Linked DNA regions of Arabidopsis thaliana. The protein of the gene in region 2 interacts with the protein of the main gene of each other region in a pairwise test. Each region holds a gene or a part of one and is shown on either strand. Other genes may lie near its edges. The genes, in order: AT1G80150 and AT2G37020.

Region 1 (4,781 bases), on a different chromosome or scaffold from region 2:
CAAAATAAGTATATAATTACGAAATTTAACAATTCTTAAAGAGAAATATATATATAATATCTCCATGTAGGTAAGTATGTATATATGTACCACGCGCCATCGAAATCAAAAGAGTCAGGTCTGCGAATAGGGAGGAACCCTAAAACGTTTTGGTAAAAGCTAATGGATTCCTCGACGGATCGACAGAGAAGAGAGATGTGATTCAAAGACTTGATATGCAGAGGGTTTCCCGTTTCGTCCTTCATTTTTTCTTTCTTACCCAGAGAGACGTACAGAAACAGAACGCTGGCTCGATCGTAGCAACAAAACTTAGAATTCCGAAATATACGCCTATATAATGAATGAGAATTCAGGAGGAAGGTGGTCATTTTGATAAGAATGGCTTATATGTACACGTGTATATGTGTGTGTGTCGTGATCCAGTAAACTACGGAACTGATCTGAGGATGGATGGCGATGATGTCTATGTTTCTTTATATGCATCCCTTCTTTTTACTATAATCTTGTATATATGAGTTGTATCATTCATCCTTTTGGAATTGAGGATACCTCGTATCTTTTTTTCCTTTTTCAAAATCATCAAATTCAGAATTTTCAGACACAAAGAACACGTGAATCAACTAAACAAACATACATGCCCCCTCAAATTTTTATTTTTAAAAATAAACACCAATTTTGGAGTTTTGTTTCTTACGTTAAAAGATATTTAAAGTTACAATGTTATAATCCACCGCCATAAATCTACGTAACAAGTCAGTCTGACACCAAAGTGTAATAGACAAAAATATGTGAATTTTGTTTGCTCTGTCACTTGTGGGAAAATGTATTTATTCGACATAATAATAAAAATATTCATTGCTGGTAATGTTGTCTCTGTTCTATTCTCTGTTGTTTACATTCGTGCTATATCAAGAAAAAGCTATCAACGTTGATATCCTTTGTTATATGTTTAGTGCTTTTAATTTGGCTAGATGAAGCTTACAACATAACTCATTTTTCCAGGTGCTCAAGAGCTTTTGCATCGTCAGACGAAGATCCTTTTGGTTTCTTCAGCACATGGTCCCTGCTTTGTGTATGCCATTTTGCTCTCCAGCTGAAATCAACAACATGTTTTGTAAGTAGCATTACAAAAGGTAAACTAGTTCTGTGCTATCACAACTTAAGATTGTAGAGGCATCCATGACTTACTGGGTATCCCTCCATTGAAGTTTCCAAATCATCCTAAGCTTTATTCACATTGAACAACAAATAGTTGAATCTGATTGGAAGATAAGTGTGCCTCCTAATATGAGGCTACATCCCATTTCCAGTTCCACCACAGCTATACAAAATAAACTCAGGAGAAAGAAAGAAAGAATTCTTTTGGCCGCATTGTCGTGTACATGTAGCAAATTTGTTCCATTTCATGTAAACATTACAAAATGGACTTAAGGGAGAGCAACTGTTTTGACCTGAAAGGAGGTACTCTTCTGTGAACTAACTCCATGATCGACTTAGCCTGATCAAGCTGCCCCTTTTTCACAAGCCCTTTGAGCAACATCTCAACTGTGTCCAAGTTTGGGTACCACTTCTTTCTCATACAATCCTTGCACATTGTATAAGCCAAATCAAAATTTCCTGCCTTGCACAAATAGTGAATCATCGTCTGGTATATCTTCAAATTGGGTTTGTACCCCTTACCATGCATCGCTGTATAAACTCTTTCCGCCATGTCAGGGAACCTCGCAAGGAAAAACCCTTTGATAACCATGTTATATGTTATGCTGTCCGGTTCCACCTGGAGTTTAGGCATCAACAGCAACAGATCATTTGCATCCCAAGCTCGTCTCCTATTCACTAAAAACTGAATCCTAACATTAAAAGTGGTGAGGTTCGGCTTACAGCCCTTGAGGACCATAAGGTTCCACAATCCATTTCCAATCACACACCTCTCGTGCTTGTATAACGCCGATATAAGTGTAGTATATGTAACTACATCTGGTGTTAACCCTGATTTCTCCATCTCCCTCATTGCCATATAGGCCCCGTCAAGAATACCCAGCTCACAGAAAGATTTAATGGCAATGTTAAAAGAAACCGCATCAATATCAATGCCATACTTCGATGGGGCGTCGTGAAGGAACTCCCAGATGGTGTGGAGATCAGGATTGAAAGATAAGACTTGAAGAGCGGCATTGAAGGACTTAACAGATCTTTTGCAACCGTATAAATCCATATTGAAGAAAGTATCAAGTGCTTGCTTCGTCATTCCAGCCTTGCCATACAACATTATAATCCTAACAATGAAACCCTCACGCCTACCTTGTGGAAGTGTCTTCTGATGCTCAAGCAGATCCTCAATGAAATCAAGCCGACCTGCCCCAGCTAATCTAGAGACCGTATCTTCAAAAGCAAATCGATTTTCAATCACCAAACGGTTAGTGGCATTAGCTTTAAAGAGATTGTATAGCTTCTCAGGGTCTCGCTCAGATTTAAGCTTCACAAGGGCAGGTTCCTCGAGCGGTTTCAAACCCTGGATCTGATTGGACTCTGTTGAAACATATGCAATACCAGTGGCTGCAGAGGAAGGAAAATGGCAGAATCTGCGAATGTGTCGCAGAGATAGCATGATCCAGGGCCTCCCTCGAGCCTAAACATACCCGAATAACATGTAGCTTATTCAAATCCCCCAAATCTCCAATCTTTGCAATTTGTAAGATCTACTAACCAATCTATAGAACCAGCTTCAAAGATAAGGAGAGCGAAGAGTTGAGCAAACCCTCGACATCCATTTACCTCAATCGACAATAACCTAAATCCCCATGCGATTCAACAACAGCCATATCCGTAAAATCCCTCCGACGGCGAATTTAATTAACACAGCCGAACTTTATCTCGGAACGCTATAGTCGTAAGCCGGAGCAGTGACCGGAAAAGGGAGAAATTGCGATCTGAGATGGAGATTAGCAGGAGGCTAACGACGGAACACATACGGAGGTTTAAGGTTTTAGGTTTTTTGGGTTTGAGAAAACAATTTCAGTGACTATTGGGCTCATATCTTTTTGTTTGGGCCTGCATTGTTATACAGGCCTTTTAACTAAAACATTGTTGTTTATTCCAATATGACCCCTGCATTTACATAGTAATTCAATTTACACCCCAAAACTTTACAAATTACTAAAATAGTTAGAAACAGGATAAAGGTCGAATGATGCCTTGTGCGGAGCCGTGAGCAAAAGAGCAGAGAGAGGAGACAGAATCAATACCATCGGCCGGAGATAAGTCAATGTCTCTCATGAAAAGGTTGGAACATGGAACACTCTCCCCTGAACACTCGAGTTTCATAGCCACCTTTGTCGCCGATGTTCCACTCATCTTCATGTATCTCACTTTCTCTATGTGAACTCCCTTCATCTGATACATTACATTCAAACATTAGCTCATTTACATTTAATATTAACTTGAAAGATAGAAAGAAAAAGGTTCTCACAGTCTCAACGCATGTAGGGGCACAACCGTAGAACTGATCAATGATGATGGGGTTTTGTACAGACGAGAAACGGATATCGAAGAACTCGATTCCTCGGACGTAACCAGTTCCTCCAGGCCAAGTCTTGATTCGAGCTCCGTTTGTTGTTCCAGTGAAGTTAACGTGCGACACACGTATGTTTTCCACTGTTACCTCTGTTCCTCCTCTACCTAAACTCCCAATGCTGTCTCTAATTTCTTATTAGTTCTCATTTTTTTATTATGAAAAATATAAGATTACGAGGTCGATAAGGAGATGGTAATCACCTCACACCGTGACCAGGTCCGCAATTCATAAAAGTAACATTCAAATTATTCACTTGATCTCCGATCGACACACAATCATCACCTGTTTAATTAATTGTGAGAATAAATAAACAAATTAAACTTTTGTTTGATCTTTTATATGGTTAGGTAAGGAAATATACCAGTGGCGATGTCAGAATGATTGATAGAAACGGCGGTGGAAGATGTGATGTGAATACCGTCGGTGTTAGGGCTAGCCTCCGGTGATGTTATTTTGATATCATCGATATACACATTTTGGCTTCCCATCACAAGAACATGTGTTTGTGCACTATTTCTAAATCTCAAACTCTTTAATGTTACATTTCCGCAGTTGCTAAATGTCATCATCTGCGAGAAATATATCTATAGTTATAGAGACGTCCAAGTTATTATATACATACTACGTACTTCCTTTTGTAAATAGCAAACTTACCGTTGGTGCAAGGCAGATGCAATTCTGTGACACGTTATAGGTTACAAAATGTATTATCACATAGAGATGGTTTGTTAGGATACATTATAACCCAAGAAAAATAAAAAGTTAAAAAAAAGGAAACTTACGGGTCCGGGATGGTCTCTACAATGAATATCCCACCATGATTTGCCTTGGCCGTCCAACAAGCCGCGCCCTACGATTGCAAGTCCATCTACTTGATCGAATATGAGCCATGGTATTACCCCGTTCTCACCATTTCCCCACTTCTGTGGATCACTCTGCGCTATCATCTCTCCATCGATCTATATATACATATATCAGCAAAAGTAACTTTATAATTAACTTGGAGGAGTAGGTTCATATTCGAGTATTCATGTAATATCAATCAAGTAAAGTGGTGGAGGGATTTACAATGAAAAGGAGAGGTTTGGGTATGCAAGGACCCGTGAAGTGAAGGGAGTTGAGGAGGAACACCTTCCCTGCTGGTACGTTTACACTTCCCATTTTGGAGCTTCCCTTACAAGCATCCTCCCACGCCTTTTGGAACGCC
Region 2 (5,219 bases):
TCAAATCTAGTGAAAATATATAAATAAGTAATATAAGATTTACTTAAGAACAGAGGACAGACATTCTATGCAATTACAGTATAAAGAAACAGAGTAGCCAGACAAATTTCTGTCGGATGATCTCAGTCTCATTGACAGAATAGATAAACACAAATAAAGAAAAATCAAAACTCTCAGCAGCTACAGAAGCGTCAATGTTTTAAATGTTTATCACAACATTCAAAATGCAAATGCAATATAGAAAAAAAAAAAAAAACATAAAAGAAATATACGTATAATGTGGGCCATAGAGACGACTCACAGCTGTTACATTAGAAAATAATAATAAAAATATAACTTTCCAGGGAAGAAAAAAAAGAAAAGAAAAGAAAATCCAGCTGCTTAGCTTATCCCCTTCCTTTAACTAAACACCTGCAATTTGAAGAAACTAACAATCCGAGAAAAAATCGAACGATATCATACATTACATTTGTGTTGGAAAAGAGATCGTTCAAGTTCAAGAGAGAATCTAACACAATGTCAGCGAAAAGAATAGTACTCGAAGCTAAGAAAAAAGATACCAAAGAGAGACGACGAGAGGAGACGAAGAACACTGACGCAGGAGGGGAAATGGCGACTGTTAGACTTGGATTTTGTTTTTTTGTCTTTGTTTCGGATTCCAAAAGCTGATTTATTTAGTTTTGAAATCCAAAATGACGTAAGACACCGTCAAATATAACGTGCGTTTCAAGTCCGCAACGATGGACAGGTGGAGTTCATGAACATCTACTGTTATACTATTAAGCTGCTGACTTCGGATAACAGTAAAGTTGTGACTAAAATGTGGGCTTTCAAGGCCCACAAAAGGAATACTTGCCGTTTTCAGTAATTGCAAACTACACCTAAAAACTACAGTCTCTCTATTTTCCTTGCCGTTTTTGGTTTAGAGAAGAACACTCCTTGACGTTTTCATGCTAGCTAAACAAAGTTATACATAAAAACTTAAAAAGAGCCGAGGACATTTAGGATTGGCCTTGGACTGCTTGGACGCCAGGAGGATCTCCGCCGGAAATCAAACCTCGGATCTTGACATCATAGTAAACTTCTTCCACTCTTCTTAGGTCGTACTTCATACCTGTCACATGTCAAAATCGATTTTTTTTTTATGTAACCATCGCAAATGGAGAAAGAAGAGCAGTTAGAGATATGTATGACTTACTGTCGAATTTCTTGCGCAGGAAATCGTTCCTGAGATTGAGCATGCGAAAGGCTGCATGAAGATCTGTCAGGAAATTCATCACCTTTCTTGGGCAGTCATAGTCTCCTGCTGTCACTCGATTAACCACGTACCTAGGCTGCTCAAACATTGCATCACCCATTTGCATTTATCCAAAGGTTTTTCATAAGTTGCTATCAAGTAGGATGCTAAGGGGGAAGATGGAAAGTAAGATTTAGGGATAAAAATGATCTTACCAAATCGTTTGACATGAAACAAATTCCTGCAAAGTATTCAAAAAGCTGAAGATCAGAGAATATAAAAGCAATGTTGCGATTCATAAAATGCTCGTAAGGCATATTTGATCTATAGATATTGGCCTTCCAGAGCAAATATGGGTTCTTTCTCAGAAACTTACCAGTGAGATAATCTTCTGTCTCCAATCCAAACTCCAAACTGTTCACTGAAGTACAATGAAGTGGAATTAGAAGAGCCATAATGGCAGATGAATTGACCAACACCTTGTTCTGTTTATTTTACTCAAAGACAATTGATTTGACAAGATAACAAAACCCAGATTTGAAACAAAACGACACTTGGGCAAATATCTATTCTACACCAACGTAATGAAAAACCAACCTTCCAATTATCATCCATCCATCCTAAGGGAGAATAACTGAGTTCATGGGAAACGGCAACTAATAACTCTATTGAGGTGAAAAAATCAAATCTTAGCTAAATGGTTGACACTACAGTGGATAAAATGCAGACTGAAACAAAGCCTAAGGACAAAATCAATAACAACGAGCAAGAAAAGGTAGACTAATTAACATACTGATAAGAGAAGAAGACTAGTGGCAAACTGAATCTGATTATTGAGAAAAGTAGAAAACTCGTTCATTTAGTTTTTCCAACTGAGACAGGTCAGGCAAAAGGAGGGTCACAGGATAACACGTATAGTATGTTGGAGTCATGAACGGATTTCAAATTGATTGCCTACTGCCAGCTCAGTTGTTACCTATTGTGGGAAGGAAGTTTCTATACAAAAGTTTGTGAGAGAACTAGCAAAACAAAATAAGGTTTTATTTATAGTGCAACCACTAGGCCATGATATGTATTTCAGTATTTGGAAGTAAGGAAAATAGTAAATTGAGATCCAGAGACATACACCCAAGTTTTTCTTCAGCTTCGGTATGCACGAGAAGAGTTCCAGTTTCTAGCCAGTGCATAAAAGCAAGCTGGGAGACCACTGCCTGTGTTTCACTTCTCCAGTCTCCATGGTACCTACATTACAAAAACCTTTTAACAAAAAACCATTGCAAATAAAGAAAATCTAACTACACATAGCTTTCAAACTTACCTATAGTATTGTCCAGGACACTCCTCAAGAATTTCAGCAAGCCGACCATAATACTGCTTCAAATCAACGATTTTTTCCTTAGCTTTCTCGATAACCTCTGATCCATCAACAAAACGAGCAATCTATATTAGTAACAACCAAACACTTCCAATGAATTTCTTAAAAGAACAAAGGCTATGTGTAATTCAATATTCATTCTTTTCTCAACAAGTTCTTCATTTTTAGTTACTTCCCTTCATAGAGAACTTCATCACCAAGTTCTGAACCCATCAAGCCATTTCAAACATTTAGCTAAAAGATGCAATTTTTAACCTAAAGACTAATCATTTACCAGGAATAGGACGCGATTGATGAACGAGAAGAAGATTAGCTTGAATAAGCCTAGTAGCAGACTCAATCTCCATAACCACAGCACGAATCTGCTCTCTCAAAGCTGCAGATTCTTCCAATTGAACACGGAAACTCTCGAACTGCTTCTCAAGCGAATGAGACACCTGACCATCTCCTCCCGCCATAGGAATGTAGAAAGAAGAAAAGGAAGAAGTCGAACAGAAGGGAAAGGAAGATGAAGGAGACACCGAGTTTCTATGCCGGAGAGGATTGGAACGGCGAGGAGAAGCGTCGCCGGAACAGAGAGGAAGAAAATGGAGAATCGAAGAAGAAAAGGGCTTAGGGTTTATCAAACGAGACGCAGTGATGTGAACGTTTCGAAACGCCGAATTCATCATCGTGTCGTGTTTTTTAGTTACGCCGCTTCCCTATTCTCTTTCCGACATCATCTTAGTAACCAATTAAACCGGATCATATAAACCAAAGAATCGTAACTGAAAATAAACCGATTTCTTTGTATATCATTCTCTGTATGACTCTATCTTACCAAAACCGGTTACCATATAAAGAAAGAAAAAGCATGATGAATAATCACCATTATCTACAAATAAAAATTACAAAATTGGAATTCTAAAATCCCTTCTTCTCTAATTCTATAAACTACTTATATAACTCATTTAATATTTAACGTATGAAAAATAGAAGAATTTTACAAAATGTAAGCTTTTTAATCATGTGTAATTATTAGATTATTTCTTCTGGAATGTAACCATGCAGAAATAAGCTATGAATCGGCATATTAGTCCCATGAGAACGAGAACAATGAGACACAATATCCAATCACTAAGATCATATCCGTTTTGAGACAATGAACTGCATCTAGTCACCACCCACACTCCAGAGTACCTAACCCAAAAAAAAGAGTCCAAAATCAAATTTTCTGAATTAAGATTTGATTATGTGTTAGAAGAATTAAATCTTCAAACTTTCTACCTTTGAGCATTGGAAAGGACAAAGGCTTCGAGAGTCCATTTGGGGTAGCAAAAGCTTCCGAGATACTTAAGGACCATGCTTTCTTTATCTTGATTAGCGATAAGAGTCATAACAACGGGGACTAACACCGACAACTGCAAGAACATAACAGCAAATTCAGGTACCATATGGTTAGTGAAAATTTTGGTTCCTTCATATATGAATTATGAGAAAGTGAGGACAAACCAATTGTGCGGCGCTAGGACTGTACAATATGGCAAAAATGTAAGCCATGCCTGTTACACAGTAGACCAAGCATACTAGTACAATGTAGTTGTCTTCGAAACTAGATCTCGGGTTGTTGAAGAAGTAGAACATGGACAAGTACACTAAAGGTTTCATAATTGTGTTTAAATGGTCCATTGTGTCTTTAGCCATAAAATGTGCCAAACTGCTAATTCCAGCGGCACTTTCTCTCCAATATTGTAATTTATCTACAGAGAATGATCTCAATGCCGAGATCTTACACAAAAGAGCTACAAAAAAAGAAAGACATACAGAAAAGAGCTTAGTTAACGTTCCAAAAATCGCGAATACTAGTAAATGTAAATTAATATTTGTGTACGTAAGAAACTTACAGACAGCTATTATGGTGTATGTGTAGCCAAGTGTATCGATTGTCTCGTCGTTCACCTTCGCAAGAGTTCCTAAACAAGCTCCCGCAACTAATAATATTAGGAAATCTAACGCTTGTAGTCTTGCTTCTCTAAGCCGTTGTTTTCCAACCCTGAAATAGATAGACTAAAGTTTTAATGTACATATGAAATTAACCACAAAATTCCATCTATCAAATCTAGAAAAATCATACCTTCCAACAAAATATCTATATTGTCGACCTACGGTAGGAGTTACTCGATTAGAATTGTCATGAGAATTCGAGTAATTGTGTTGTAACTGATCTTTTGTAATCTCCACATTAGTTTTCACATCTTGCCATAGATCATTACTAAAAGAATTATGAGTGGAATCCTCTTGAGCTGATCCAGTTGACGAGGAAGGAAGTCCATCACAAAATTTCAACATATCGTGAGGCACAGGGTAACCATTGTGCAGCATCCATCTCACAGGAAGTTGTTCTATAGTTATATCACCATCTGGTTTCACAATGCCTTCAAGAATATCTATATAATGATCAGGAGGATTGACACGATCGGGAACCGTGATTCCGATATCAGCAAAATATTCTTCTATTTTTTTGACTGATCCATGGTACACGGTAAGACCACCTTTTGCTAGTATTATCATGTCATCGAACATTTTGTACATTGTATAACTAATAAGAGGAAAAAACCAATTATTAAG

What was found.
Region 1: the proteins of AT2G37020 (region 2) and AT1G80150 interact in a two-hybrid assay, tested with the Arabidopsis thaliana proteins (one large-scale study listed by BioGRID).

What each region holds. Positions count from the first base shown.
Region 1 is NC_003070.9:30,146,565-30,151,345, reverse strand, and holds AT1G80150 (Tetratricopeptide repeat (TPR)-like superfamily protein), read right to left. Parts: upstream 3,017-4,781; 5' UTR 2,609-3,016; coding exon 1,415-2,608; 3' UTR 1,189-1,414; intron 1,094-1,188; 3' UTR 790-1,093; downstream 1-789. Other genes in the region: GLYI7 (Lactoylglutathione lyase / glyoxalase I family protein), read right to left, coding at 91-368; AT1G80140 (Pectin lyase-like superfamily protein), read right to left, coding at 3,166-3,393, 3,470-3,692, 3,775-3,856, 3,936-4,143, 4,357-4,533, 4,643-4,735.
Region 2 is NC_003071.7:15,544,575-15,549,793, reverse strand, and holds AT2G37020 (Translin family protein), read right to left. Parts: upstream 3,381-5,219; 5' UTR 3,284-3,380; coding exon 2,887-3,283; intron 2,653-2,886; coding exon 2,556-2,652; intron 2,480-2,555; coding exon 2,364-2,479; intron 1,659-2,363; coding exon 1,614-1,658; intron 1,479-1,613; coding exon 1,453-1,478; coding exon of another isoform or gene 1,405-1,452; exon of another isoform or gene 1,335-1,404; coding exon 1,199-1,334; intron 1,115-1,198; coding exon 1,002-1,114; 3' UTR 757-1,001; downstream 1-756. Other genes in the region: NAP12 (non-intrinsic ABC protein 12), read right to left, coding at 3,635-3,791, 3,879-4,012, 4,104-4,393, 4,496-4,644, 4,726-5,190.